Linked DNA regions of Lepisosteus oculatus. The protein of the gene in region 4 purifies or fractionates together with the protein of the main gene of each other region. This does not show direct contact. Links are inferred from orthologs where the notes say so. Each region holds a gene or a part of one and is shown on either strand. Other genes may lie near its edges.

Region 1 (7,452 bases), on a different chromosome or scaffold from region 4:
CTTCTCTCCCTGTCTGTGAGCCCGTGTCTCACGGAGAACAAGCTGGGGTCTGCAAAAAAAACGAATTGCCGACCCATGATCCACTACATTCTTAACCCTGGCTGTTCTTCCTTTTAGCTCCATTCCTCTTATTGTAAAACTTGGATAAATCATTTTTTAAGTCACTGTATAAAACACGTTAATCAGCTGCAGGCTGGCACAGTTACAGTAGAAACACAGAGTCACTCACCCCTGGGGCGCAGTCTGGGAGTAATCTGGAAAAACAAAGAGAAACGGGGGGTCAGTCACTTGGCGACACTTGCACTGTGCCAGGTGCGAAACGCGTTTTACAGGCAGATGAAGGACAAAATTCACAGCATGAAGCAGTCACCCAGACGTGCGAGTATGATGAGGAAAAAAAGAGACCTGGACCTCTTTTCACGAACGTAATTCGTTCCCAGAAACCTTTTTGCAAAGTGACAACTCATACAAAGAAAAACCCATTCCAACATCTCTTACAAAGAAAAACAAGCTGTTCCAGACCCCCAAGAAAGTCCCCCTTCAACCATTTTCACCAAAAATGACAAGAAACACCAAGGACAAACTTTTTTTGTGGTTTACTTTTTATCTGATGAAATCCACTGCTTATCTCGTTAGACCTCAGAATGACCACTTCACTTGCTTTGTGAGTAGCGACACACAGTGGCCCTTTCCTCGCCCCTCCAGGGCCCGGGGGAAGCAGGAGCACACAGGAGCGAGCAGGCGAAGCCGCAGTGTCCTCACTCCCACCCACGCCAGACCCGGCAGTGGAGCCCGACGGTGCCAGCACCCGATACCAAACCAGTCGCCTGCCTCCTCCCTCCCCCGACCTGCCTGAGGTTTCGAAATGTTTCTTTGCATCACGTCTTCGTAGCTTTGAAAGTGGCCTTTGCCACTCAAAACGCGCGTGACAATTCGCATGATTCGTAGCAGCAAACCGTACGTTTGTGAAGGGGGGGGACAGTCATGAAAAATAAAATACAATCCATCGAGCACACGAAGCAGGTCAATGGCTGCAGGAATATAAGAGAACTTAGTTGTACTGCGCTTGAACCCAGGTGGTCTGAATGGAGTTCAGTGACTATACCCCCGGTTGCTCGGCAGTGTAGGGGTGCTGCATGATCAATTTTGAAAAGGCATGATGGGAGAGGGGAACAAGCTGCCCAGCCCTGTTGTTGAGACCGATACTCTGACTCCCCTCTTGACACAACTGGGTGATCAACTCCAGCCTGGATAGGAGGCTCTTCTGTACAGAGAGGGTGGTGGGAGAGGGGAACAAGCTGCCCAGCCCTGTTGTTGAGACCAATACGCTGACTCCCCTCTTGACACAGCTGGGTGATGCACAATTCACTCAGATGAGCACACACGACCAAACAGACTAGATGTGCTGATTAAACTATTCTCACTTGCAGCTGCTTTTCAGCATACGTATTAAAGCAGAACTGCAACTTTTTTTATTTTGGGGTTAGAAAGAATTCGCAATGAGTACATTTCAAACCACGTTAAAAGTAAAAGGCACAACGTGTAAAACCTGCAATTATATCACAAAATAGACCATTTCCAAGTCTGTGATTTAGAACGAGTGAGGGGGGGGCACCCAACGACGTGAAGCAGCCTAATTACATTGTAAACACGCGTGCTGGTAAACGCCCATTTTAAGCCAACAGAAACATCGTTGACTGGATATTACTGCAATATCGCTCTCGACTTTGAGATGGTTTTGGCGACAAATACTACTTGTTAACGCTGCACAAGGATCACTTTGGAACATCCCAGTAGTGAATCGTCTGCTGCGCAAGCCTGTGCTGATTTGCTCTTCCATCACCCTCGTCATCGAGGTGGCTAGTGAGCAGGAAGGGCCGCCGCCTCTCCAGCGCAATTCACACGAACTCTCGATTTAATTGATTTAATTAAATTTAATTCATTTAAATTCGTGATTTAATTCGGAACTCCTCCATTTTTCTTCCTTACACAACGCCAATGAATTCGTGTCGTCACCGGGGGGGTAACGAGCGGCCTGAGAAGCCGGGGCAGCAGCGCGGCGATCAGCTCCCGCCCCTCTCCCGATCTCCACACCGGCCGGAAGCGGAAGTCGGCGGCTCCATCTTGAGCGGGATGACCCGGATGGAGGCGCCGCTCCGCGCGGCATGGCCGGTTCCGCCCCGCCCCCACTCCCCTACACACACACACACCTGCTCCCCCACAGCAAATCCGGGGGGCTCCCTCAACCCCGGGGCCCCCCAAAATCACACCTCGGCGGCCCGGACACTTCGTTCCCGGGGGCGCGAGGCGCACCAGAGGGCGCGACACCCCGCGCCAGCTCGCGCACAAAAGGGGGAGGCAAGATGGCGGCGGCCGCGGAGAGGCGACAGCCCCGCTTTTGTCTCGCCTCTCCCCCTTCTCTCGGGAGGGAAAACAGCCGCCGCCGCCAGCCCAGCCAGCCGGCCGGAAACGGACCCGATTTCAGCAACAACAAAAAAAGCGCACAACCAGAACGACACAGAGCCGGGAGGCCGGGGCGAGCGGAGCCCCTGACGCGAGGAGAAACCCACACGTTCAAACCCCGAACTGTGTGATTTTTACGCGTTTCTCTCCCCGGAGCCACGACCCCGGCAGCGTCTTCAAATTCAGACGTCGAGACTTTTCACTTACACACAGCAGAGAACCGGAGAAGCCGCTTGTTTCACTCCGGCGCGGACAGCGGAGGTTTGAAATGAATTAGACCCACAGGCTAACCGCCTCTTTCCCGCAGGCGGGTTAACGGCCACGAGTTCGCACAGCAGGCGGCGAAGGCCACTTTTTAAAAAACAAATAAAACGATGGTATTTTCTAAAGAAAAAAAAGTAAGAAATTTGTGTTTTTATTTTCTTACCGTTGGACGCCATGGTGGTCGGGTTGTCTTTGTGCTCCGCGACTCTTTCGCCCGCGCTTTTCTTCCCTCAAACGCACAAACTGCTTCCGAAGAAAATAAATACGGGAAATAAAGAAAGCCGATGGGGTGGGGGGTGCGGGGGAGGGAAGAAGAGAAAGAAATAAAAAGAAACTTCGAAGGCGCCGAAGACGACACAGCTCCGCAGCTCGACACTGAGGACAAACTGCGTCACCGGGCCGCCGCGCGGAGACTTTTAAAACCTGCGGCTGGACGAGACCACTTGCCTTGAATGCCTGGGGGGAGGAGGCGGTGCAGTTGGGAAACTACCCGAATCGAACAGTCCCCCCCCCTCCCGTCACCAGAAAAAAAGATGTCCCTGCTGTTCGTATTCCCGTCTGAGAACAACAATTCACTTTTTTTTAAAGTTTGTCTCTTTTTATACATTTACTGAAACGAAGCAGAGGGTGCCAGAAACCCCCTCACGTTTTTGTACAATAGCGCCGGTCTCCCTTAATCCGCCTCTCATTAAGAGATTAACATGGGGTTTTGCGATGCTTCGTATCGGCTCTGGGTTGGAGGTGTGTTGTAACAGGGCACCGCGGCTGTAAACTCTTCGTCTCTCTGCACTGCAACAGAACAGGATTACACTGCATCCTCATTCTATTAAATATCTCACCCCAGTTATCCTCATCTGACCCGGTTTCTGATACATACATCACCTAAGAAAAGAAAGCGGTGAAAATGTAATGTGTGAATATTGTCATATGCGATGTGTAAATATTTAAGGGCTGGAACCGCGTCTTTGTCTGAATGAGGGTCGTTTTTCATCTCCAACTGGTACAGCATTGACACCCAATCCCAAATCCTTTCAGGAGCTGATGGGAAACCTAACAATATTCCCCAAATAGGGAACTGAATTCAATTAGTGGTCCTCTAGGATCGGGACTGGAAACCATTGAATGAAAGTCAGGCGGCACAGGGGCGCAGTGCTGGGGGTGCCGGGTTCAATCCCTGGGGCGCTGTCAGGGTGGAGTCTGCATGTTCTCACTGCCTCCGTGTGGGTCACCTCTCTGTGCTCTTTCCTGGTGGTGGTTCACCTACTCACACGCGCGAGTAACAGACACACACACTCACAGCTGGGCCAACCGGGGTTGAAATTGTGTGTCCGCCCTGGAGCTGCGTCTGGCCCTCACAGTCGTGGGTAAACAAGGAGAGCAGCAGGGGACCAAGCACCCCTGAGGGACACCTATATCAGCGGTCAGCGGGGAAGATAGCTTTCCATCGTCCCTCACAGTCTGTGGTCTGCCAGTCAGGAATCCAGACTCCAGCTGCAGAGAGACACCCGGATCAGACAACAGAGCTGATACTCAGATCATTAAGCTTGGTGACCAGTCTGGATGGAACGATAGTGTTAAAGGCGGAGCTGTAATCAATGAGTAGCAGTCTGACGTGTGCCTTTGTTTTCCAAATGAGCCAGGGCAGTGTGAGGAGCCAGGGAAATAGCATCATCAGTGGACCTGTTACACAGGCGTGCAAACTGCAGGGGGTCTAAGCACTCCGGTATCATGATGTCAATGTGGCTCATCACCAGCCTTTCAAAGCATTTCATTTTGGTAGATGTGAGCGCTACCGGTCTGTAATCATTCAAAGTTGCAATATATTTATTCAACACACGTACAATGGTGGTTTTTTTTTCTTAAAACACACTGGAACAGGGGACTTTAAAAGTAAAAGATTAAAAATATCCATAAAAACTGTGGCCAACTCGTCTGCACATAACTTAAGGAATGCTGGAGTGAAGACCAGGAGACACAGTGTTCCTCCTGGATCAGGACTGAGATCCTCTGAGATAAAGTCATTAAGAGCCCAGGCTGGAGCGAAGACCAGGAGACACAGTGTTCCTCCTGGATCAGGACTGAGATCGTCTGAGATAAAGTCATTAAGAGCCCAGGCTGGAGTGAAGACCAGGAGACAGTGTTTCTCCCGGATCAGGACTGAGAACTACAGAGTTAGAGAACTGAGACGCTCTGCGCCCGAGCTCTTCCAATTTCCTTGATCACCCCCTCTTTTGTCAGGAGAAGTTGTAAAACCCCACCAGTGTTTTCGCCCCGCAGTCCATCGCTCAGAACGCGGTCCGTGTGCCTCTGAGCAGACAGCACGCAGACCAGAGAATAGTGGAGACCCCCCACTTTCACAGAACCCCCAACGGGAGACGGGAGTGTGTGTGTGTGATTTAGATTTCCCTCCTCTGTCTCACTGCGCAGAGTAAAATCCTTCTTTCAGAACGAAAATCAGCAGAGAGGCACATCAAAGGTACTTGAAGAAGATTTATTTGGGGTTTTGCCAGAATAAAAAAAAAAGTAACACTGATGGTATCCTGTAACACTCCCCAGTCACAGTTATCGATCAGCCACCTGTTGAACAGGTCTCCGATCTGTGGGAGCTCGTGGCTGAATGTAACAGGTTTTGAGAATAAGCAGTGGCATATAAAACAGAGCACACGAAAGGAAACTATAGGAAGCAGCATTTAGAATTGAGAGCAGGAGGCACTTCTTTACACAGAGAGGGGTGGGGGTGTGGAACAGGCTGCCCAGCTGGGTTGTTGCAGCTGATACCCCGGGTTCTCTCAAGGTACAGCTGGAAGAGATGCTCCAGTCAGGACAGGAGGCACTTCTGTACATAGAGGGTGGTGGGAGAGTGGAAAAAGCTGCCCAGCTGGGTTGTTGCAGCTGATACCCAGACACAACTCGGAAAGATTCTGGGATTAATTAGCTCTTAACTAACAAACAGGCTGGATGACTCCTGCGTTTGTGACTCGTCCTGTGTTCCCATGTTCTTTCGTGAGTGTCAGTCTGTGTGTGTGTGTCAGTCAGTGTGTGTGTCTCAGTGTTTGAGTGTGTCAGTCAGTGTGTGTGAGTGTGTATGTGTGTAAATCAGTGTGTGTGTGAGTGTGTCAGTATGGGTGTCAGTCAGTGTGTGTGTCTCAGTGTGTGAATGTGTCAGTGTGAGTGTGTCAGTATGGGTGTCTCAGTCAGTGTGTGAGTGTGTAAATGTGTCAGTATGGTGTGTGTGTCAGTGTGAGTGTTCATGTACAGCTCCTCTCTCTCAGCTCCGTTTGGCCTTGTCAGCTCTCAGTGCTCTCTGTCTGCGCAGGTTGACGTACATCAGGGTGAAGTTGAGCAGGTAGGTGCTGACACACACCATGCAGAAATCCCACAGCACGAACACCAGGATACAGGCCAGGTAGAGGGAGCCAGCCACAGACAGCCAGGAGGTCAGCACCAGCAACAGCGCCGCCCTGCTGGACAGCGACTGACCTGCAGACACAGAGGAAGACTACTATTGCAGCACACTGATACACTCAATTACAGAGAGAGAGAGAGAGAGAGAGAGAGAGAGAGAGAGAGTTGTAAATGTCTGTAACATGTCTGTAGGTTTTATTTTACTTCTATTTTTTGTTTTGTTCCATGTTAATTTTATTAGTTTTATTTGCTTTGGCAACACTGATTGTACCCATCAGTCATGCTAATAAAGCACCTGGAATTGAATTGAATTGAGAGAGAGAGAGAGATGGAGGACGTGGGGTTCACACACCGTCACAGAGCAGAGAGAGAGAGAGCTCACACGAGCAGACTGAGACACACACAGACAGGGACGGGGGGAGTCTCGTACCCAGGACCAGCTGCAGCACGTAGAAGATGACCCCGAAGACACTGTTGGGCTGATTCGCCAGGCTGTCGACCCCCACCACCAGCTCAACCAGGCCGAAGCCGCGCCCCCACCTGGAAGACATCGGGAAGTGCACCTCACTGCCCCCCGCCCGTCGTCAGACCGGCACGGGCACGGACTGGCCACCTCTCCCGCGGCACGCGTCTGGGGAGCGGTCTGTCCGAGAGTCCAGATCTATATCTGGAACTAGAGTTAGGCGCAGTTTTTCAGGTGGGCACGGTTACATAGTGGTTAATATTTCTGCCTCACAGCCAGGGCCGGCTCGGGGTGGGGGGGGGTATGTGGCCGCCCAGGGCCCTGTGCTTTGAGGGGGACCCCCCCGCCCAATCCCCAGTCCCGCTTGACACACGCATAAAAATCGAAATGCATACATGATTCTGTTGTAACAGAAAGAATAAGGTTCTGGATCCCGAGATGAAGTAAAACAGATGAGTTTATTGCATGCAAGGAACAATAAAGCCGAAGTCTTGTTTCCCGCAAGAAACAACAAAACCGAAGTATTGTTCGATGTGCCGGTACAAACTTTTAGGTTATATAGTCCTTGCTTGCTGCTTCAGATGTTATTCGATGTTATGGTAAGGGGGGTCATGGTATTTGGCCAGTTAAGAGACCCTGGCCAAATGGTCAGTTTAAGATTATGCCCCCAGGGGGTTCCTTGCTCGCATCTGGAATCCTTATCAGTTAACCCCCTTTCCTGCCATAAACCCCTGTTGCTTACAAGTCTAATTTTCAGGCAGAAGTTAACCCTTTTCACATCTTGTCTCTTACTTCAATTCAAAATGTTAATAAAGCGACACAGGAAACTCTGATTTGAACTCCAGAGGCTCCAGTCA
Region 2 (7,327 bases), on a different chromosome or scaffold from region 4:
TGAAACTAAACATAGATAACCTAAAAAACATCCGGAAATACTGCAACACTCAATAATTTGTCATGTACATATATCATTTTTTGTGAACTATATCTCTTCCATCTGAAGATCTAAATCTTCAAATAAAATGGACTCATTTGCTTTTACACTAAAAACAATAATTGAAAAGCAATGTTTTAATATGCATACCCTGTTAGCATTGTAGTACAAGACAACAAGATATCTGTTGCAAACATTAAATCCAGATAAGTGATCACAGGCATTCTTGGCATCAAAGATGTCTTCATAGACAACATATGCTGTTCCTCTTGTCTCTGGTGTGTTCCCACTAGGAAAAAAATATGTCCGATTAATGAAATGTAAATAACGTTAATGCAAAAATAATATGAAAACATACAAAATATAAAAGCACCTGACTTCAATAAAAGCCCTTGAAGAAATTGAAAGGTTAAGTTTGTAATTTGTTATTATTTTCATTTTGAAGTCTCTAGCACCAGCACAAGAATGACAATATCACAACAGTTCTATTTGGCACTTAGAATTAAACAGGTAAAATGTAAAAAAAAGTTTAACAGAAAAAACAATCACAAAATATTGTCACTGCTATATTTTGTGTACTGCTTTATTTTTAAGAATTTGACAAATCACAATTTCAGCCATTTTCAATAATCTTGTGCATGACCTTCACCTTGATTCTTCTGGTAGGTTGCAATCTCTGTGAATATTCTATTTTTTGGATTCCTTATGCAATTGTGAGAATACATACAGGCGTGTAGGTTTCTTCAGTTATTCAATTTATTGTATTATTAATTTAATCAAAAAATAAAAATACATATTTATACATTTTAAACTGTCTACATTCTTATAGGTTTTCAATTTGTATGCTTATATCTGAAATCTAACATGCTACAAACATTGAGCTTTCTCATGAGGGAAGTAATCTATGTATGCATACTAAATCTAAGGGTCAGATAACCCCAAGATCCAAATTTCACTACAATTGGAAATGAAAGAAATATGCAGTAAAAGAGACTCTATACAAAAGTAACATTAGACCTTAACTTGATGGTGTGTGTTAACAGTGGGAGTGTTGCAAAACACACCAAGCAAAAGCCATTTATAACAATGATTTTGTTTGTAACAAAGGAAACAATGCTAACCTGAAACTAAGTTCATCCAAAGCAAATGTAAATTGTGTTGGAGAAAGTGATCTATAGCAGTATTAGCCCAATTCTGACATTGAACATGAACAGAAGTTCTACAGAATTTGGGAAAAATCATACCCAAGAAAAAATAATAAATTAATGGGAATAATTTTAATTGAGGTAGGAAGTGATATGACTGGTAAACACAAGCTGTAACACGTTTTGCTCTTTTGGAGTCCCCAGTCTTTACTCTTGTCCAATCTTTTCATTCCCAAAAATCATTTGTAATAAATTGAGTTTACAAGCAATATACATTGGTAGCTGCAGCTCCACACATTACAAGGCAATATAACAGAACTTTAGGTAGTGATTAAGTAAACAAATAATAAAATAGGGGCAACCAAATCTGCTGCAAAGCTAGAAACCCTGACATCAATGCTCATATGGCACTCGATCCATCTTCCTAACATGAAGAAAATACAGGTAGTAGTCTAGAGGAGGGTTCCCAATCCTGGTCCTGGAGGTCCTGCTGGTTTTCATTCCAGCCAAGGTTAATAACCTCAAATTGAAAATGGAAGCTTTAATTGAACTAGCACGTTGCTTGATTGTAACGTGTGGAAACTTTTTATTTTGTACTTAAGACATTTGGGATTTTATATTACTTTTAAAACTCAAAGAGCAAAGAGGTGATCTCCGATACGATTAAGAGAGTAAACAATCAAACAGCTCAAACTCATACTATTATTAAGTCAATCAAAGGTTCAAATGTGTAACCTGTGCTTGGCTTGAGCAAAAAACGACTGATAAAGCAGTATAGCCCTCCAGGACCAGGAGTGGAAACCCATTGTCTAGATCACTTGTAAAAGTGCGAAAAGAGTAACAGGTGGTCTTGTTTTTAGCCTCTGCTCCCAAACCCAGACGCTAAAGTGTGATTCTTGTTGACATATCACTCTGCACTACCTCTACGTTATACAAATAAAATATCCATTAAACTTTTTTTGAATATTTTATTTTGTCCAAAGCCATAATTATAATGTGCATTAAGACTGGCAGTTACATGAATTGTGGTAGTTCTTAAAATGTATCCATTTACGCCCTCTAAGTGAAAGGCATATTAAAAAAAAAAACACCTTATAACACTTACACTCGGATTTGCCGTATTGGTCCATACTTTCCAAATATATCATACATTTCTTCCGCTGTGATTTTGTAAGGAAGATTACGAATATAGAGGATTCTGTTTACTTCTGGCGGCAATCGAATCTGACAAAAGGAAACATCAAAATAATTTTTAAATAATTCAAACTTGACACTTCATATAATCACTTTAAACTAGTTAAGAAATCCTGAAGAAGATATCCATTTATAAATTGACTAAAGAGCGTCAAAATACCATTTTATCAAAAGCACCTTTTGCTAATTAGTACATTATTGTTGTATATTAGAGAAAGAGGGAAATCAAACATTTATATTACAAGTTTGATACACGTTGAATGCATGTTTGGAAAAAAATAGTCTTTTTGTACTTCCATCGAAGTACAAACCCCATTCTTTATAAATTATGTGATTGTGCTCTTATTTAAATAAACATTTACCGAACAAATAAGTTACTGAAACAAACAAGATTTTAGCAAAACGGGCCCAGTTAGCTCAGTAACACAAATAACATAATAACTCAAATACACGATTGAAAAAGATTTAAAAAATATTTAAAACAACTTACATTAGCTCTTTTAGCTGCCTGCATAGCCATGATTGCGATTTATTTCCACAATCCTACTAACAAAAATAAAGACGCCACGAACAGTGGTTACAATCCTGATTCCTCGTTGTCTCACAGGAAGAGTGATCAAGAAAATGGACGCATAGTGATGACGTCTCTCCTATCGTAAATCTAAAGGGTAATGTTTATAGGGTACGTTCACTATGCAGACTCTTGTCGTCTTCTCCCTTTGGTGTATTCTTCGACGTTCAATAAAATCCGGTCTGCGTGAACTCCAGCGGAAAAAAACAAACGTATTATTATTATTATTATTATTATTATTATTATTATTATTATTATTATTATTATTTACAACAGTATACAAATTTAAAAAATCGAATGAATCAATAGAACAAGAAATCAGATTGGAAATTTCAACATTACATTGTATGACACATAAAATAAGCATACTGTATATGAAGGAATTGCGAAAAACAGTTTTCATATTTTTATATTTTACACTATCCAAAAATTGCATACTAATTGAATTTATAAACTATTTGAAGCACATAGAAGTTTTAAGTACTCTGTGTAAATTGTGCTACTATTAATATAACATTTAACATTATACTGTATTAACAGTAGATGTATTAACATTATACTGTATTTACTCATAAGAGCAAGAACAATGCCCTTATAAGTTAAATTTATAAGGATAGTTCTGCTTTTTAATCAAGAACAAACATAACAATACCAAAAGCCTGTTGTATAATGACTTGGAAAAAATCAGTTCAATAGCTTTAATACCAGACTCAGAAAAATACAGATGTTACAGTCCAAGTTTAACCTCCTTGGAAATTCCTTAGAATTATATATTTTGTTAATAACTTTAACATAAATGTGTTTAGTTTTTAAAGGGGTGGGAAGAATTAAGGAATAATTATGTATTCAGTTCTTGCTCTAACACGATTCTCGTTATCCATAATCAAAATGTACTTTTCTCCTGGTAAACGGGGAGATACTCTCAGCCATATCTCAGCCAATGTCCTCTTTTTTAGGAAAGGATCATGATAACATGATACTTCAGTTCAGCATTAGCCTCTTCATAAACTATTATTTTAAAGCAATATACTGTATATACGACATATATACAGTGCTTACAATTATATAAGTTTTGTTTGTATAAAAATTGCCAATTAAAAAAACCTGTAGATGAAAAGCAGAGTCGATTTAGAATTCAAAGTCTCACTCAAACGAAACATCTCGCCCAAGCTGAAAAGTCTATACAGCCACACAGCTCCACAAGTCGCTAAGCATTAGAGCAGCCAAAACAACCATAGAGCGTCATGACAAAGAAATTTGTAATTTGAAATTTGTAAACTGTTTTAATCCTCCTTGCATCTTCTAGCGCCATCTACCCAGGAGGTGTGGAACGTCTGTGAGTTGAGATGCTCGTGTGTGAATTCCTTGAAATTGCAAAAATAATTTCCATGTATTAAAGTAGTAGATAATGTTATTTACAGAGACATAATCACCGGTGTTATTATAATTGTACGTACGTGTATTAATGTAGATAGATAATCTATGAAAATATATTGTATTATATCCTGCTTTGTAGGTTTGTATGATTGTATGATTGTGTAAATTCCTCCACTCCATTTTTGCATTGCAGCCCTAGGAGGTATACTCTCCAGCACAGGGGAGCTGTTCTCGGACTTGGGAAGTCTGTGCTTTAAATGTTTTGGGAAAACTATGTTGATCTATCTGCAGTTTTATCTGAGCTGCAGTATTTCTTCATTTTCTTTTTCAATAAGGAATCAGTATTGCAATTCTGGTTGTAGCTATTGTTTTCAAAGTCACAACGTTCACAATTCCACATTAATCGCTAGTGTAACGAATACGCCCCTGAGCTCGGTCGGCAAGTTCGAGTGTTGGAGTGACGCCGGAGACTCGAGTTCCTGCCCAGGCAGTGACGAACTGACAGGGCAGGAGCGGCAAAGGAGGAAACCCAAAGAAATGTTACAGTAGCCTGTATCAGACAGAAGGAAGATGGGATAACACCATTTTCTAAGTTCTGACAAAGGGACACAAGAGGGTGAACTATTAGTTTTAAGATAAAAAAAGCTCATACCTCTATGGAGGAGGACAAAAGGAAAGGACAGCAGTTTTCCAAAATGTTCACTAGAGCAGTGCTAAACTTTTGATGGCAATGTGAGCTATATGTGACTCCAAAAGGCGGGGCAGCAACTTTGGTAACTGGGGAGACTCTGAGAGTTGGTGAGGGAGAAAGCTACCAATTCAGCAATAAAAATTAAAACCAATTTCTGCTTACAACAGACAACATCAATACTTTATTGTACATGTAACAGTTCTTGGGGTTTCCTTCCTTGCCGCTCCTGCCCTGCCAGTCCGTCCCTCAGTGGGCATGAACCCGGGTCTCCAGTGTCACGCAACAGGGAACTTGGCAGCTGAGCTAAAGGAGAACTCCCCCAGCCAGGGCGGCTGAGATCCCTGTTATACGCAGGGGTATATTTGTTACATACAGCTTACATATCAACGAACAGCAAAAGCACTGCCAGCAGACACCAGCAGAAACAAAGCAACTTAAATGTGTCTTGGATCATTTGCTGCAGATGCTATCTGACTGGACAGAACCACAGATCTATGTCTAAAGAACCTATGTCACTCAGTCATCCGCAGTGAGCTTTTCATCCTGGCCCTGGATATCCTTGGAGGATCCTGTCTGGCTGTCACCAAGGAGGACAGCAGAGAATGAAGACTCATTTGCCTGTGCACAAACCATAAACCTAAATAACAGAAGTTACATGACCATTTTTCTGGGGTTGTGGCAATAAAGGACACCTGCAGCAACAGTACAAGCACCGGAAAAAAAAAGCCTCAGAGAATCAGAGAAATTATAATAATGAAAACATATTTTAGACTGTTGACTCTATCACAGTGGAAACCATAAAACAGGGCCCTGATCAGCAGTGGGAACAATCTGTGCATCCCATAAGTCATTGAGGAACTGTGGGTTCTCATTGACACTGGTCATTTCCTCTATTGACACCTGCTCAGAGCACTAAGGACACAATACCGAGTGTTGCAGCAAAAGCATAATGTGCCAGGGTCAGCTGAAAGTGTAAGTTTGAATGGTGGCCTCTTAAAAACCATGAGTTCTGGGAGCCTGCTTACTTTGCTTAGGAGAAGGCACTGTCCCTTCATTAGTTAGTGGGAGAAGGAAGGTCAACATGGAATGATGGGCTGGTTGGAAAGATGATTTAATCCATTGAGTGTTAAGTCTAGTGCAAATCAGGGAGCAAACACACAGAAAAGAAGCAATATATCCCGTTTTTAAAGAAATCAATGCCTTTTATGTCAAATGTTAATTGGAGGATGAACTATGTTACCTCAGGTGATGTCATTTGTTCTGTCATTTTGTATGTCAATGTTATGTCATTTGGCATGTAAGGAAAGCATGGAAGTTAGTATTTCACTCTGCTTAGGTACATATGACAAAAAACTTGAAGTTGAACTTGAGACGCCATGTGGCAAAGACCAATGAACAGGCACATCCTTATTCAGGCTTCAGGAGAGGAATGGGACAGAATCAGAAAAGACAGTATCTGCAACCTGGAGCAAACCTTGCCTTGTAGATGTACAGTATAGCTTATACCTGTATTTATTCCCACTGTGGCCTTACATATTACTGGCTTGTGTCTTTCATAGTAGAGTAGACACTCTATTGATAAACCACTTTAACAAAAAATGTTCATCAGCATAATTGATTTACTTACATCATGTCTGTTCAAGGGTGTCACAGTGGCTAGCATTGCTGCCTTATAACACTGAAATCCTTGGTTTAATTCCAGACCTAGGTTGCCATTGGCATAGAGTTTGTATGTTCTCCCCATGTTCATGTGTTTTTCCTCTGGGTTCTCCAGTTTCATCACATAGTCGAAGGGCATACTGGTCGGTTATTTGGCTTCTGGGAAAACTGGGCCTGGTGTGAGTGTGTGTGTCTCTGTTTGTGTCTGTATGTGCCCTGTGATGGACTGGTGTTCCCTCCAGTGTGTACCCTGGCCTTGTGCTTTTGCCTGTAGGTACACACTCCTGCTTCCACTTGACCCTGAATTGGAAAAAGTAGTTAGAAAATAGATTGATGGATAAATGATAATATTATTTTGGTGCCAAAACAGTATCAAAATAATCTAGAGATTAGTCCAAGAATGTAAAAAAGTACAATAAATTGGACAACGTTTTAATTCTCAATGCTTCATGTATTCACAAAAACGTTGTAGTTTTGATTAAATGTTATTTAATTTACATGTTTCCCACAAATCGTGTATTTCTAATAATGGCAAAAGATACAAAACTTGATCATGGGTAACTGAGCTTCAGCAATAATGTTGTAAGTTTAAGATGACAAGGGCTACCATATCTGAACATTGAAAACAGAGGACAGTCGATTGAAGGGAGG
Region 3 (7,270 bases), on a different chromosome or scaffold from region 4:
GGAGTCCCAACCCAACTCAAACAGGAACAACAGCTCTGGAACTCACTTGTCATCCTTCTCCCCATCATTGCACACATCCACAATCTGCAGGATGTTGTGGTTGGCACTCAGCTGCAGTGCCCCCACATTGATCTGGACATACTCCTTCAGAAAGTCCTCCGCCAGTTGCCGAACCTCCTTCGGCCAGGTAGCGCTCCACATCAGGGTTTGCCTGTCCGGCTGGAAGGGGGGAAATAAAAAGTCAATTTGTCTCCAGCATTAACCCAGCAAGACCTTGAAGCTTCGGGAGTGGGAAGACCTACCCTGATCTGATCTACGATCTTCCTGATCTGCGGCTCAAAGCCCATGTCAAGCATTCTGTCGGCCTCGTCAAGTACCAGGTAAGTGCATCGGCGGAGATTCGTCTTTCCGACTTCCAGGAAGTCGATGAGCCTTCCAGGTGTGGCAATGCAGATCTCGACGCCTACAAGAGGTGGAGAAGAGCTCTTTATCTGCTCCCAGAAGGGTGAAAACCACAGCAACGGACCCGAGCAAGACAAGTATGGACATACCTCTCTCCAAGTCACGGATCTGAGGTCCTTTAGGGGCGCCCCCATAGATGCACGTGGACTTCAGTCTGGAGGCTCTACCGTATTCAGCAGCAACCTGCTGGACTTGCTGAGCCAGCTCTCTGGTTGGAGCCAGTACCAGGCACTGTAAGAAGGGGGTTAGAATATATTAGAATATAGGATGGAATTTATTTAGGTTGGCGAAACATTAACACTTTAAAAAAAAAAAATCGCTGTGTAAACTGAAACACTTACAATGGGACCATCTCCATGTTCAAGGAATGGTTGGTGGTTGATGTGTACAATTGCTGGCAACAAATACTGCAACAAAAGAATTTGAACATTATGGAACATGGCATTTAATAAACATGTTAAGTTAATTGAATTCAGTTAACTTAAGGACTATTACAATCAAAGAAAAAGACTACATTATATTGACTCATGTGGATGGGCAGGAGTCAGATCGACAATGGGCTGCACGGTGTTCCAAATGGGGGCAGTGAGCAAGTGACCAACCTTTACAGGATTACCATAATCTCCAACACGAGAAGCACATTCCTAGGATTCTGCCACCACCTTCCACACCTAGACTTGACATCAGTTAAAACCCTTCCTATAAGGCGTCACGATTGACCTTACCGAGAGCGTTTTCCCAGATCCAGTCTGTGCAATCCCAACCATATCCTTCCCACTCAACGCCACCGGCCAGCCTTGTGCTTGAATGGGGGTAGGTTCGGTAAAATTCTGTTTGGTGATCACGTCCATTACATAGGCTGGAAAAGGAAGACCGATTTAGACTTGAACGAGGACTTCAAAGCACCTTCAAGTGCACTTAAACCTTTGAAGCACAAAAACAGGAAGCGTGCTCCGTTTGCATCCTGGCTCAGACTTACATGGGAAGCTTGCTTCATGGAACTTCATTATGGGGTTTGGACAATCCCTGCACTTCACGGTGACTTCCTTGCTCCTCCTGTACTGCTCCACTTCTTGCTGCAGTAAGAAAATAAGCCCATTGAGGAAAAAAAAAACTGACCACCCTCCAGAGCTACAGCGTCACACAGCCGCCCAGTCCAGCGGCCCTCGTCCGGCACGTTCTCATTTACGCAAGTCTTCCAGCTGGACAGTTACAGGAGCGAAACACCCCGGGGGGGATAACGGAGACTGAACCTGCAGGTGAGTCTTCACACCTACTTTCTCCCTTCAAGGAATCCCTAACTGCTTCATCACCAAGTCCTAAATCATTTTTAACCGGGGGGGGGGTATCAAGAGATAAAACAGCAACGGTCTCAGGACCCGCATCGCAACCCCTGGAGGCTGCCGCACCCGTGCGGGCGACTCACCGCGGTCCTGCGGGTCACGTCGGCGTGCTCCTTGTAGAAGTTCTTCTCGAACTTGGGCAGCTCGTCCAGGTTCCAGTGCTTCTTCCGCAGCCGCTCGCCGGGGTTCCCGAACTTCTTTCCCGGGGGGGCCCCGCCTCGGCTGCCCCCGAACCGCGGCGCGCCGCCAAAACTGAAACGACGGCAAAACGGGAAGCTCAACAGACGGAAAGACGTTTTTATGTAAAAAAAAAAACACAACGAAAACGGCAGAAGCTCTCTCCGAGATGGCGGCGAGAAATGCGTCTCGCTTGGGTAAAACAACGGGGCCACGTAAGCGCCATCATTACAGTGCCATGGGGGTGGGGGATTCGTCTTTAAAAGATTAAAGATGAGATTCCGGCAACCTGCACTGAAAAGATTCGGCTCCGCGACGTCCCTGTGCGAATCGCACCCACGCCTGCCCCCCTTTTTAAGATTTGTTTCTGCGTCACATTTTAAGCCGCTGCCATTTTGCTTCTGACCAGCAGAGGAACAAAGACGCCGGCCGGCCGGCATTTTGTCTCCACATCTTTGAACCCGTCGTCACATGGCGAGCACACCGGGGAGGGGGGAAAAAAATGGAGGAATGTTTTTTTTCCTCCCACACCCGCATTTCGGACCCAAGCCCCGAAATCCACGTCACTCGTTCACAGTCAAACTACAACACTAACAGTTTTAAACTAACGAGACGTTTCAGACACACACGCACACAGATTAGTCGATCGTCGTTCCCCGGGAAAAACGACCTATTATTTCTAAAAAAAAAAAACCCCGACTACTAGCCACACTAACTCACAAGCAGAATAATCGGCGCAAAATACACAAACCCAAAACATACATCACGTTTTATTTCAAATCAAACTCGTGTCAGCCATTTTACATTCGTACCCCCCGACTTACCCTCTATCTCTCCCACGGTCTCTGTCAGAAAAACCAGGCATGATGCGGGAAAAAGAAAGCTTGGGATTTAAAAAATAGATATATATATTCTTGCGTTACAGCAGCGTTTAACTGGCTAATTTCTTAAATTTTCGACTTCCTAGGCGGGATCCTTCCTCTCAGTTGCCGGCAGTGGTAACGCTGAAAATGCCGGTTCCTCGCGCACAGAAGCCGGTTTATATAGCAACAGGAAACGGAGCCTCGCGAGACCGCAGCACACATGGCGTATCCCTCCGCCTGCAGCCGGTACTATGACCTCACGCTGCTCTGTTGCGCGCAATGGCGGCCGAGCTGGATGGGGTTGGAGAGCAAGCGTTTCTGTTGCATTACACAAACAAAAGTACTGTGGAAGTGGCAACTACAATGACCAATTTTCTGTTTTGCTCCATAAAATGCTATATAACGTAGGTGGCTTAGGATCTTTTTTTTTTGGGGGGGGGGGTTGTTTGGTTATTTTAAACGCGTTCTTTGTTATTAGAAGTTAATCGTCGTCGTCACTTTAGTAGTTGGTCTGAGTCCAAAAACAAAACAAAAAAATACGACAGGAGTGCGTCGGTGCGTCGTGTTAACCGCCTTTAGAGGGTCTTTCACTATTGTTGCTCGGTGTGTGGGGACGTGGGGCACATTCGCAATCGTGGTCACAAACGAGACGAGGTCATTCAGGCCAGAAAGCCCGTTTGGTGGGTGGCAGTGAATTGATCCGGGCGCCCCATCCGCCCGTTCCTGAAAGAAGCCGGGGTGTCGGCTTTGACAACGTGGTTGAGTAGATTGTTCCACGCCCTCACGCCTATTTGTGTAAAGCAGCGCCAAATGTTGGCGTTTCTAACCACCCACACACCCCACCCCGCCCAGGAAATTTACACTTTTTTAAAAGGTTTTTATTATTTTTCAAATGCAAAAAGGGGAAGGAAATACAACAACCAGGGGTATATACATAAACAGGAAGAGGTGTTAGTGGGGCCAGCAGGGGGCGCTCACCCTGCAGTCCATGTGGGTCCTAATGCCCCAGTATAGTGACGGGGACACTGTACTGTAAACAGGCGCCGTCCTTCAGATGAGACGTAAAACCGAGGTCCTGACTCTCTGTGATCATTAAAAATCCCAGGGTGTTTCTCTTAAGGAGTAGGGGTGTTACCCCAGCGTCCTGGCCAAATTTCCCCCTGATCTTTACCAGTCATGGCCTCCTAATAACCCCCCTCTCTGAACTGGCTTCATCACTCTGCTCTCCTCCCCACTGAGAGCTGGTGTGTGGGGAGCAGACTGGAGCATCATCCAGGTGGGGGTGGAGGGGATCCCCATTACCTGTAAAGAAAAGCGCTATATACGTGTAAGCAATTATTATTATTACATACAAATGTCACAACATGATAGAACAACGGTAACATCAGGTGAGTGAAACAAAAAACAAATTCTCCACAGTACCGAGGTTCAGTGGTGTTAGGGGTTACATTAAATTTATATGCCAGAAGATTTTTGTAGACCAACTCGTCAAGGTTATTTTTAAAATATTTTTTGTGAATTTGAGTATAGCTTAGGTGAGTTAAAGCACATTGTAGTTTTTTTTTAATTCTACACGTAATATTTTGCTAACATCAGAATGACGTTTACCATTATACGAACTTCCTTGGATTTGGATTTGGAACACCAAGAACAATATCCTTAAAAGTTACAAGTAACATGTTTATTCCCTGCTGAACAGAGAAGAAAGAAAACTCAACGTTTCGGCCGTGGATACTTTTTCACACCTGAAGAAGGCTCCACGGCCGAAACGTTGTGTTTTCTTTCTTCTCTGTTCAGCAGGGAATAAACCTGTTACTTGTTCCTTTGCAGCCTGCGCAGGCTGACGCAGCTACCCACCTGAACTCCTCAAAAGTCCACGAATACTGCTATTATTTTGGCCAAGAACATACCAAGTGCCAGGAGGTTGTCGAACCGTGACGGGAGAAGAAAATGTTCTTTCAATATCTGTTTCAGAAAAGGTACAGGTGTTGCAATAATTTCCACTTGTGTCCTCCCCCTAGTCGTATCTCAAACAAGGCATTTTGTTAAACAGCACCTGTCCCGGGCACGGGCAATACAACCCACCACCGTTTCCTTTATTGAAATACAAAAACAGTCTCCGGTTCTCAATAGTCTATCGCCTAGTCCAAGTACACGACCACACCGAGAGTCTGAATCGCAATTTGCGCGATGTATTTACAGGGTAAGACCCAGCCTCCGTCACCAGCGTGTCCAGTGAGTCTCTGTAAATAACAGCCCTGTCTAATCCGTCTCCAAGGAAGTGTGCAGTTGGGTCATTTCCTGGACTTTTTATTTTACGTGTTTTGCCACGTAAAATTCATTTTGGTAGCAGCACTTGGAATCAACCATCCCGTTTTTACAAAAAGTACACCAACGGGACGGAATCTGTAACCGCACCTATATAAAAAAAACAGTTTGTTTTAGTGAAAGGGTCTATTTCTAAGCTCGGAGGCATCGCCAGCAGGACAGCACAGCACAGCACAGCACAGCAACCGGCTGTGCCTTCCTTTGCCGGGAAATGACGTCAACCCAAACGTCATGGGGGCGTCACCTTTAACGGGCGAAAACAAGAAATGCGCAGTGTGAAATAAACTGAAAAAAAAATCGGCATTTTTACAAACAAGATCGCGAGAAGAGGACACTTAAATGGAAAAAAAATGAAAAAATGCTCTTGACGCCTTCTTGGTTTTCCGTTGGCTTTACGTCATATCCGGGATCGGGGCGCTGTTCTCGGCAGCCAATGGGAAGACTCCCGTGTTTTAAATGTCCGAGGCTGGTTCAGACCGTGAAGCTGAGCTACAGAGCTGTGCGTTATCTTCAGATCCACCACCTCATCTGCACTTCTCGTTTTTGTTGGTTTTGGACACATAACGATTTGCTTTGGGAACATACCATTCATGGGAACGCAAGAGGAAAAAGGTCAGTGGAAAGGAACCCCTCCTCTGTCAGATTAACCCACAGGGCGCTCTTGAGACCCTGTCCTGCGTTTCTTTTTAAATAAAACCCCAGACGAAATCGTTTATCTTCACCGGTCTTGCCCAGCTGTTCCGTGTTCCGTCTGTGCTTCAAAGATGTGGTTGTAAAGGCTGTCAGATCGCGGACAGGTTATATCACGACGAGGGACGGGCTAGCACAAAGATTTTTATCTGTCTTCTGTCCTGGTCTGCTGCTGCTGCGGCTGTATTCAATACAGCTGCTGCATCTGCTTAATAATTTAAAGCGCCGTTTGGATAAGATAAATATCCCTCTATACCCAGGGTTGAATGGGACAAGGGCCTTTCGAGAAAATGTCACCTTTTGTTCGGCTACTTTTCTGGGTGCCCGCTTTGGGTTGAATGAAATTACAAATCAGCACGGAGTGTTTTGATAGATCAGGTAGATCGCAAAAACAAGAAGCCCAACAGAACAGGGGGTATGTTGTGGTTGTGGTTCTGTTTTTGCTGTGTAGTTTTATTGATTTTATTTATTTTTTTAATCACTTCGCTGCTAGAAGCCGTTCCCTTTCTTTTATAGATGTTTGCTCTTCATAGTGCAGGCGTACTGTATCGTCGGCTGCCAGTGGCACTGTTTCGCTTCGGGAGAAGAGTACAGTGCGCTGTAAATTAATTAACGGTTAGTAGCTGACAGTACTCGGGGCTGTACAACAGTAAGAGTCCCTGTACACAAAGCGTTGACCCTTCGGCACGTATAAGGAGTTTTTGAAGTGGGAATCGTGTTTTAACTGCGGGATAATAGCGGCGGTTTTTACTGTTGGCGCCGGTCCCTGCTGTTGCAGCGGCAACAGTTACTAACTTGGCCGATGAGCAACAAAGATTTAGTGACGCTTATAGACCGGCTTGTGTTCACCCCTTTCTCGCCAAAACGCTTTTTCTACATTTGATTTGTGCCACAGCCCCCTTTCCGGGGTCCTGCACAGTTTTGTTTGGGATGGTAAATTTATTTTTCCAGACCCTGGAGCGCAGCTTGTGTGTCTGTAGCGATGGCAAACCGAGCTACCAGTAGCTAGGACGCCACTGTCAGTTTCTTGACCATTAATCAATCCGCCAGTCGAGATGGTTTTGGTGCCGCGCTGTTTGCCATCTACTAGTATTACTACTACTAGTAACCCGGCAGCTTGTTTCTTCCCACAAGCTGTCTGATCACTGAACTCTACCCCTACCACTGGCTCACACAGATGTTTTTTTTTAATTGTATGTTGTTTAACTTGTTGCTGCTGCTGCTGTTCTGTGTTTATGGTTTTTTTTTGTTTCCTTAATGTCCTTGTATTGGAGCATACACGCAAATAAGCATTCCCTTGTGCATATGGCAATAAACTGAACTGAACTACTTTTACCGGTTGCCTTAAATGAAAACAATAATATTGCGTCATATATTTATCACGCCAACCCCTCCAAAGGACACCTT
Region 4 (7,311 bases):
TACAATGAATCAGGAAATGGAGACAGATATGACAATATGGGCATTGTTTTGCAAAGGCACTTGGGATTGGGCAGAGCCAACAAGAACAGAAAGCTCATAGAAAGCGGTAATTTCTCAGGTACTTTGAATAGGTTGACCACTGGGGGACAGGTGTTTCCCAGAAACCTGAAAGTGAACCTGACCATTACAGCAGAATGGGAGTCCCAAGATCAGAGAAAATATTTGACTGTACCCGAGGTCCTTTAAAAACATAATTAAGAACGACAATTCGGTACATGATACAACAACATTATTTGTTGATAATGACGGCAATATCAGTTACTTTTTTAAAAATAAAACATAAAAAATTGCTTGGGTCTGGGGTGTATTGCATGCCACACCAGAAGAAGTAAAATATTCTACAAATAGCTATGTCTTGCTTAAAAAATTACAAAAGGACTGAGAAATAAAGTATGACTAACATATCAGCTATCCCGTGTAATATAATATACTGTTCTTTTCACTTTTTGTGCTAAAAGCTATTTTAAAGTTAGAGCCTTTATAAGTTTGAATGCAGCCTAATTCCTTATTTCTAACAGGGAAAAATATCATTTCACTCTTCTTTTCTTTGTCAGAAGTCATTTTATGTTGATGTTCATCTAGGTATTTTCAATTCAAGTGCCAGTCATTTTAGCTATAAAACAACCCCCTGCTCTTTCCCTTCCTCCTGCAAAAGGTTCCTTTTCCTCTGTTTGACAGCGAGGCTGCCAGGCAGTCCTATTTCACACACAATTGGACTGTTATTTAATTGCCTGTGAAAGAAGTGGAAAAAAATGGCTGGTATTTTAAATTAGTTTTGAATTTGGAACATTAGTAAGGCTTACTTGTAATGTTAACTTCTTCTTTCCCATCACCATCAATCCCTAGTTACAAGCAATGAGCCATTTGCCATTACAAAGATTGTTAGCAATGCCCAGGTTGTGTAATTACCTGTGTCAATTGCAATGATTGTCTTAGGTGTCTACCGATTCATCACTACATAATCCAATAGCTTTTAAGCTGCATGGGATCTTATTAAAGTGGCTATGTCTATGGGGGCAGTGTTTTTAACGGTCTTTGTTATGGAATATAAATGTCCCATTAACAGACTGATTGTTTACATGGTTATCCAATGTTGCAACCAAAGTTTCCTGTTGAAAATAATTTATTTTTTGTTTGCACCTCACAAGTATGAGCAGAAATAATTTTAGATGCTATTTAATAACTTTTAATAATGATAAAATTGCAATTACTTTTGGCTAAGGATCTGTGCCTGTGGCTGGAAGGTTGTCGGTTTGTATCCCATGGCCAGCAGAGGAATCCTATTCTGTTGGGCCCCTGAGCAAGGCCCTTAACCCCAACTGCTCCAGGGGTGCTGTATAAATGGCTGTTCCTGTGCTCTGACCCCAAGGTTCTCTCTCTGTCTGTCTGTATGTCCATGGAGAGCAAGTTGGGGTATGTGAAAAGACAAATTCCTTATACAAGAAATTGTATTTGGCCAATAAAGTGATCTTATCTTATCTTATCTTATACTGTTGGTGAAAAACAATACACAGATTTTACCGCAATGGTAAGGAAGTACACATTTAATAAACAATACATTACCTCCAGTTGTGTTGAAGATTTTTCAGAGAGGCAGGGCTATGACACTCTCCTCACCCCAATCATTTTTCCCATCATGCATGTGGCCCAGGTCATGATCTGCAAAAAAGTAAAGCTCGCTCCCACATTGCAGACGTTGCATGACTGTTTTTGGCAGAGTAACAGATTCTGCTCCTTCCATGGCCAGAAAATCTACCACATTTGTCTCAGATTGAACATTTGTCGAACAAAGTGATTCAGTGTCTTACTGCCTAGTGAACTCTAAACAGATATTTATGGATTTGCTGAGGAGCTGATCAACATTTGGAACACTCCAGAAGCAGTCAGCATCAATAACATTACAAATCACTGCTATAAGGTACTTGCAGTCACCAATGCTAATGGTGGCCCAACAACATACTTACTGACTTTGTGATCTGCATTAGCACCATCCATGTCATGTGTTATAGGGACCAAGATATTGGACTTAGATTAGGACGTATGCATTTTTTGGGGGAAAGCTTCTTACATTAACTTATTCTCTTGTATATCGTATATCTCACAATACAATTGCTATTTTCTGCAGTTTCTTTTTTATGGTAGTACAGTACATACGGTAGTCTATATGACTCTCTCTTCTAAATACCCCAACACATATTTTATTGTAGTTAAGTTGCAGTTATTCATTACTGTAATTTAATGCAAGTAGATTAAACTCATTTGCAAAATTAATGACTCAAAAATATTAATAAGTTTAATCTTGTTATTATTGAGAATCGTCTACAAAAGCATAGGAGCTGTTCTCAGAAATCATTTCTGGGAGTTTTTTAAGATTTATACACCACCATCTTTTTCCTGGAAAGATCAACAGCCTGGGGCATCAGTTTCTAAAGTTTCTATAGAAGAAAAATAATAGACTAAATTAAATAATTAAATAAATAACTATCAAATTACATGTTGACAGCCAAGGAAAACCAGTAGGTTTATGCTTCACTGGTGTACACTAGGTTTATCACACTCTACTGTGGAGCATGTGCAGTGTTATGGTAGATTTTGTAGTGCTCAAGCTCATCACATCTTAAACAGAGTTAATAGGGTCCATAGCTATATTGTTTCAAAACTCAGGATTTCTCAAGTTTGCTCCAGCCTTGAATGAACTTCTGTTGGTTGGAAATGCACTTCGCGAATTGCAAAACATTTGCAAATGCATGTAATTTCTTCAGTTTTGCAGGAGACCATGACCATGATACATTGTTTTCAATGAAAACTGCATCTGCCCTCCTCTCACATTTTGTTTTTTGTGAGAGATAGCCAATCAATCCACAGAGTAACCAGGAAAATATATGCTAGATATTTTGCAATTCCTACCAATGTGGTCATTAGCTAGAGAAGGATCATTTTGTTACCTGTTGTGGGCACCAACATGTTTGAATTCAATCTTATTCCATTTCATTCTCTAATGTAAAACCAAATGGATGTACAGTAAAAATGCTTCCTAATTTAAATGAAGAACAGGGAATAGACCAAATTTAAAGCAAATAATTTTATTTTTAAGTGGTACAATACTCTAATAATACTTTCTCTAATAATACTGCTGAAAAGCCAGAACTATATGGAAGTACATTTTAAATCAAAAATAGAAGACACGTCTTTACACAAAGGGTTGTGGGAGTTGAGGAACAAGCTACCAGACATTGAAGCTAATACCTAGGCCCCTTTTAATAAAGGCCTGATAGATCAATTAACTGCTAATACGGCTACCATTTGTTTATAACTAATCTTATGTCCACTGGAGCCGAGGCTATAATCCCATCTCCTACCCCCATGGACCCCTCCATTACAGTGTATCCATGGATGTTCACATAGTGTAAGTAAAAAATATGAAACCAGCACTCATTCATTTCCACAGTCATTACTTATCCAGCTAGCCTGAAAATTGCATATTGAATAGTTGAGAATTCATGTTTTGCCTAGTTAATAATGTCTGAAAAAATGCGTGACCACTTTGGATTATATTCTTATATAAAGTTATACAGGAAATTAGTATTTTACTTACAGTATATTGCCATATATATATATAATATCGTATATATGTGTGTAAAAAGGTACATTGTATAAAGTTAGGCTGTCCTGGATGTCATCATGAAATGCATTACTTTTTGGTAACACAGATATGATCTCAACAGTCTAAACATAATTATGAAATCTAACATCAGCAACATAATAATAGTTTAATTTTGAGTACTGGTGAAGACACTTAGCATGATGAAAACAGTTACGCCGGCGTTGTAAACTATAACAGTTTGCAACACTATACGCGCTAGGCCTATCTACGCGATAGAACTAAGTTGTCGAAACTGGTATCGTTTTTAATTAATACAATTTTGAGTGCAACGAAGCCCAGAATTGACACCAGATTTTCCCTAGTCAAGAACACATCCACACGTCACGGAGGGAACAGAGGGGCGGGAAGGTTACTGTACTGTCTTCCTTCTTCCGGCGGTGCCGGCCGGCTTTCAACACTCCGCACCTGATGAGCTGTACCATCCTGGACTCAAATATTTTTATTTAATACATTTCATAATTACATATTTGTGGAAAATAAAAGAAAATCAAACACATCTATATATTTTAATGAAGGGGTTATTTTCATTATTTTATGTGAAATAATAAAGACGAGATGAGTGGTTCCGGTCGCCATCTTGTCGCCTGGTGCTGTGACTGAAGAGGAGGGTTTGTTTGGGAATAAGTGTGCATTTCAGGTGTATTATTTTTTTTAAATAAACCTTTTCCCGGTCAAACAGTATGTCCAAAAGGCATCGGTTGGATTTAGGCGACGACTATTCTTCTAACAAAAAAAGATCGTCCTCTGACTTGTAAGTTAATGGTGTTTTTTATTGTTTGGGTCCGGGAAGATGGGTTATGCATCTCGGCGCCTTCCTCGGGTCAGCGAGTACTGTGCAATAGCAGTCTCGCTCACCGCTGTTTTCCTAAAATCCGAGTTTAATACTCTTGGAATAATACGCTTGGAACGTATTATTTAAAAGTTAAAGTGGCTTTAATTTACCAAGACGGGATTACAACACGTCTTATTTTGTTAGACATGTATTTTGTTACACGTGGGATTCTCTTGCGGCCTGTATGCGGTTTGCAAACAAAATGCTCGTCTTGCATCGAGTTTTTAAACTTGCAGAAAGCTTTTTAAGTCAATCGTGTCCATTGTAACACTGAGGGGTTACGATATGCGCCGCCTCAGTCGTGTTTGTCCTTTGCTCAAATGCTCTCTCAACACGTGTTGGTAGCTGCAGTTGTTGTTGCAGACGGTATGTGATTGAGAGCCTCCAGCCTGTGTAGGTTTCCGTGCAAATATACGTTTTGGCGATTAGTCTATGATAAGTAAGTCTGAGGCATGTTTTTAAAACTTCCAACAACAATGTTTAGTTTGCGGTGGGCCGGCATGCGGTGAACATGGTTTTCTTGTGACATCTGATGATGATGGTTTATGCCTTTATGGCCTTATCCTCGGTACATCTCGGTAGTGTTAATGCAACAGCCTTGCTATAAACTAGTGGCAGCTTAAACGGGCGACGTTGGCGTGGTGTAGCTTATTTTATATTTTCTTTTTGTTTTGTCACTGATTACGTTGACGCTTATGAATATATTAGAAATGGACCGCCAAAAGTGTGGATTGTTGTAGTGGGCTGGGGGCACTGGTCTGCTGAACGTCCCAAACAACAGGCTGATTCACTTGAATATGTACTGAGCGTGAAAACAAAATGGATCATTCTGTTTTTGCAAAGCACATGAATTTTGGATATTGATTGTTTTGGGGGCATTAAATGAACCGATCTTGATGATTTCGTTGTACAAGAGCTACATTTCTTTATTAATGATAGGGGGTGATTCAGCCTATGGAATCCTTTGTGAATTGTTAAAAAGCTAGGAATTTGCCAGTCATTTTGAATATTTCATATTCAGTCCAGATTAGACTAAAGTAATGAATGTTTGCAAGTGGCACAGATGTGCAGATCTAGAGCAAAGTCCAAGTTTTGTGGTCTGGGCAGGGGTGTTGCTATGGAGTGCCTCAAGCAATTTTATCACTAATTTGCCACATGGCATTGTAAGACCTGCGACCTCACTTGCTGTCCTTCCTGCATTCACATCCTGATATGACAAAATTCCAGAAGGACAGCTCACACATAAATCATATAACAAGTGAAGGTTTATTCCATGCTGAAAAGAGAATAAAAGAAAACACAACTTTTCGGCCGTGGAGCCTTCTTCAGGTGTGAGAGCCTGAACTAAATCATATAATAGCCGGCCTGAACTAAATCATTAATTAAACCTGGACTAAATCATATAACAGCTTTTTTGTGAAGTGGGAACATGGGAGATATGACATAGTTGCCTTTTCTACAGATTTGATGCCCATTGAACGTATATGGGGTGGCATAATGGCCCGGTGGTTAGCATTGCTTTCACTCACAGTCCTGGGGCCCTGGCTTCAATTTCAGACTTGGGGTGCTTTCTGTGTGGAGTTTGTATGTTCTCCCTGGCTTTGTGTGGGCTTCCTCTCACAATCCAAAAGCGTACTGATAGGTTAATTGGTTCCTGGGAAGCTGCACTGTGGTTTATGAGCGTATGAGTGTCTCTGTGTGTGCCCTGCAATGGACTGTCACCCCAGCTGGGGTAGATCCTGCCATAGGCACTGGCTCTCCCGCAACCCTAGGCTGGATTAAGCGGTTAGAAAAGGGATGGATGAACATATGTGGGATGAGTTAAGACAACATGGCAGGGAAGAGGCACATGCTTGTTCAAACCCTGAGAGAGGAATAGGACAGAATCCCACAGAATGTGTTGCAGGTGTACAGCTTGTGCTACTTCCAGTGGTGCCCCCACAACCTACTCGCTTGTGACTTTTACTGTAGACCCTGTGTTGATCGACTCTGGTGATGATGATGATGTATCGGCATAATGAATTTACCTGTGTGTCCAATAATATGTCAGTGTAGTTGCACTACAAATATTTTTGGTACCTTTGCAAATATGTTGTTACTAAAGGTTTCTTTTAATGCTTATTGTATTTGAAATGAAGTAGCCGATCTTAAAGAATTACACGCGTCCAGCTGTTAAAGCCTGAAAGGCAATGGCCACCTTTATGGCTGTATCAGAAAGCCATGGTCATTTTCTACTGTGGGAAAATGTTCTGCTCTTATTCACTCAAAGCACGTAGCTAGATTTTGGTTCCATCATGTACAAGGATCTTTTATAAATAAAATCTGTGATTTTTGAAGGTATCCCCAACACTACTCCCTGGAAAAATCGAAGATGCCACAAATTATAACGATTAAAAAAAAAACTTAGTAATGTTTCCACCTACTTTTAGAAGGTCTCACATCATGCCCACCTGTTTGCAAGGAATATTAAGATTTTGAATTCTGTGACTATGCCTATCATATGCACAGTTTCAAACTGAGGATATTATTGAATATTGAAGTAATAGGCCATTGATTGACAGCAGCATTTTGTTTGTCAATCTTGAATATTCTGTAAATCTGACCGTGTTGCATGCTAGTTTACTCAGTAATGCCAGGGGTCTATTTATGTAGTGTTTCCAAAATAAAGGTAAATTTAATAAATGTAACTACCAGTCTGATAGATCAAAAACTCTATATAAATGCTGGTAAAGAGTGTGAACACCCTGTTGGGTGT

What was found.
Region 1: the proteins of dhx15 (region 4) and fus purify together in Homo sapiens (affinity purification with mass spectrometry; 4 studies listed by BioGRID and IntAct, with this or other methods). This does not show direct contact. The link is inferred for Lepisosteus oculatus from reciprocal best matches to the Homo sapiens genes DHX15 and FUS.
Region 2: the proteins of dhx15 (region 4) and sf3b6 fractionate together in Homo sapiens (co-fractionation; 3 studies listed by BioGRID and IntAct, with this or other methods). This does not show direct contact. The link is inferred for Lepisosteus oculatus from reciprocal best matches to the Homo sapiens genes DHX15 and SF3B6.
Region 3: the proteins of dhx15 (region 4) and ddx5 fractionate together in Homo sapiens (co-fractionation; 3 studies listed by BioGRID). This does not show direct contact. The link is inferred for Lepisosteus oculatus from reciprocal best matches to the Homo sapiens genes DHX15 and DDX5.

What each region holds. Positions count from the first base shown.
Region 1 is NC_090699.1:5,217,371-5,224,822, forward strand, and holds the start of fus (RNA-binding protein FUS), read right to left. Parts: upstream 3,005-7,452; 5' UTR 2,904-3,004; coding exon 2,891-2,903; intron 255-2,890; coding exon 230-254; intron 1-229. Other genes in the region: vkorc1 (vitamin K epoxide reductase complex subunit 1), read right to left, coding at 5,996-6,207, 6,563-6,672. UniProt on the Homo sapiens protein: DNA/RNA-binding protein that plays a role in various cellular processes such as transcription regulation, RNA splicing, RNA transport, DNA repair and damage response. Binds to ssRNA containing the consensus sequence 5'-AGGUAA-3'.
Region 2 is NC_090697.1:38,316,335-38,323,661, reverse strand, and holds the start of sf3b6 (splicing factor 3B subunit 6), read right to left. Parts: upstream 3,012-7,327; 5' UTR 2,899-3,011; coding exon 2,869-2,898; intron 2,409-2,868; coding exon 2,290-2,408; intron 329-2,289; coding exon 190-328; intron 1-189.
Region 3 is NC_090704.1:45,522,341-45,529,610, forward strand, and holds the start of ddx5 (probable ATP-dependent RNA helicase DDX5), read right to left. Parts: upstream 3,008-7,270; 5' UTR 2,848-3,007; coding exon 2,807-2,847; intron 2,058-2,806; coding exon 1,889-2,057; intron 1,539-1,888; coding exon 1,442-1,538; intron 1,322-1,441; coding exon 1,188-1,321; intron 870-1,187; coding exon 804-869; intron 694-803; coding exon 552-693; intron 464-551; coding exon 303-463; intron 220-302; coding exon 47-219; intron 1-46. Other genes in the region: centrosomal protein of 95 kDa, read left to right, coding at 5,764-5,785. UniProt on the Homo sapiens protein: Involved in the alternative regulation of pre-mRNA splicing; its RNA helicase activity is necessary for increasing tau exon 10 inclusion and occurs in a RBM4-dependent manner. Binds to the tau pre-mRNA in the stem-loop region downstream of exon 10.
Region 4 is NC_090696.1:62,447,008-62,454,318, forward strand, and holds the start of dhx15 (ATP-dependent RNA helicase DHX15), read left to right. Parts: upstream 1-4,290; 5' UTR 4,291-4,404; coding exon 4,405-4,475; intron 4,476-7,311.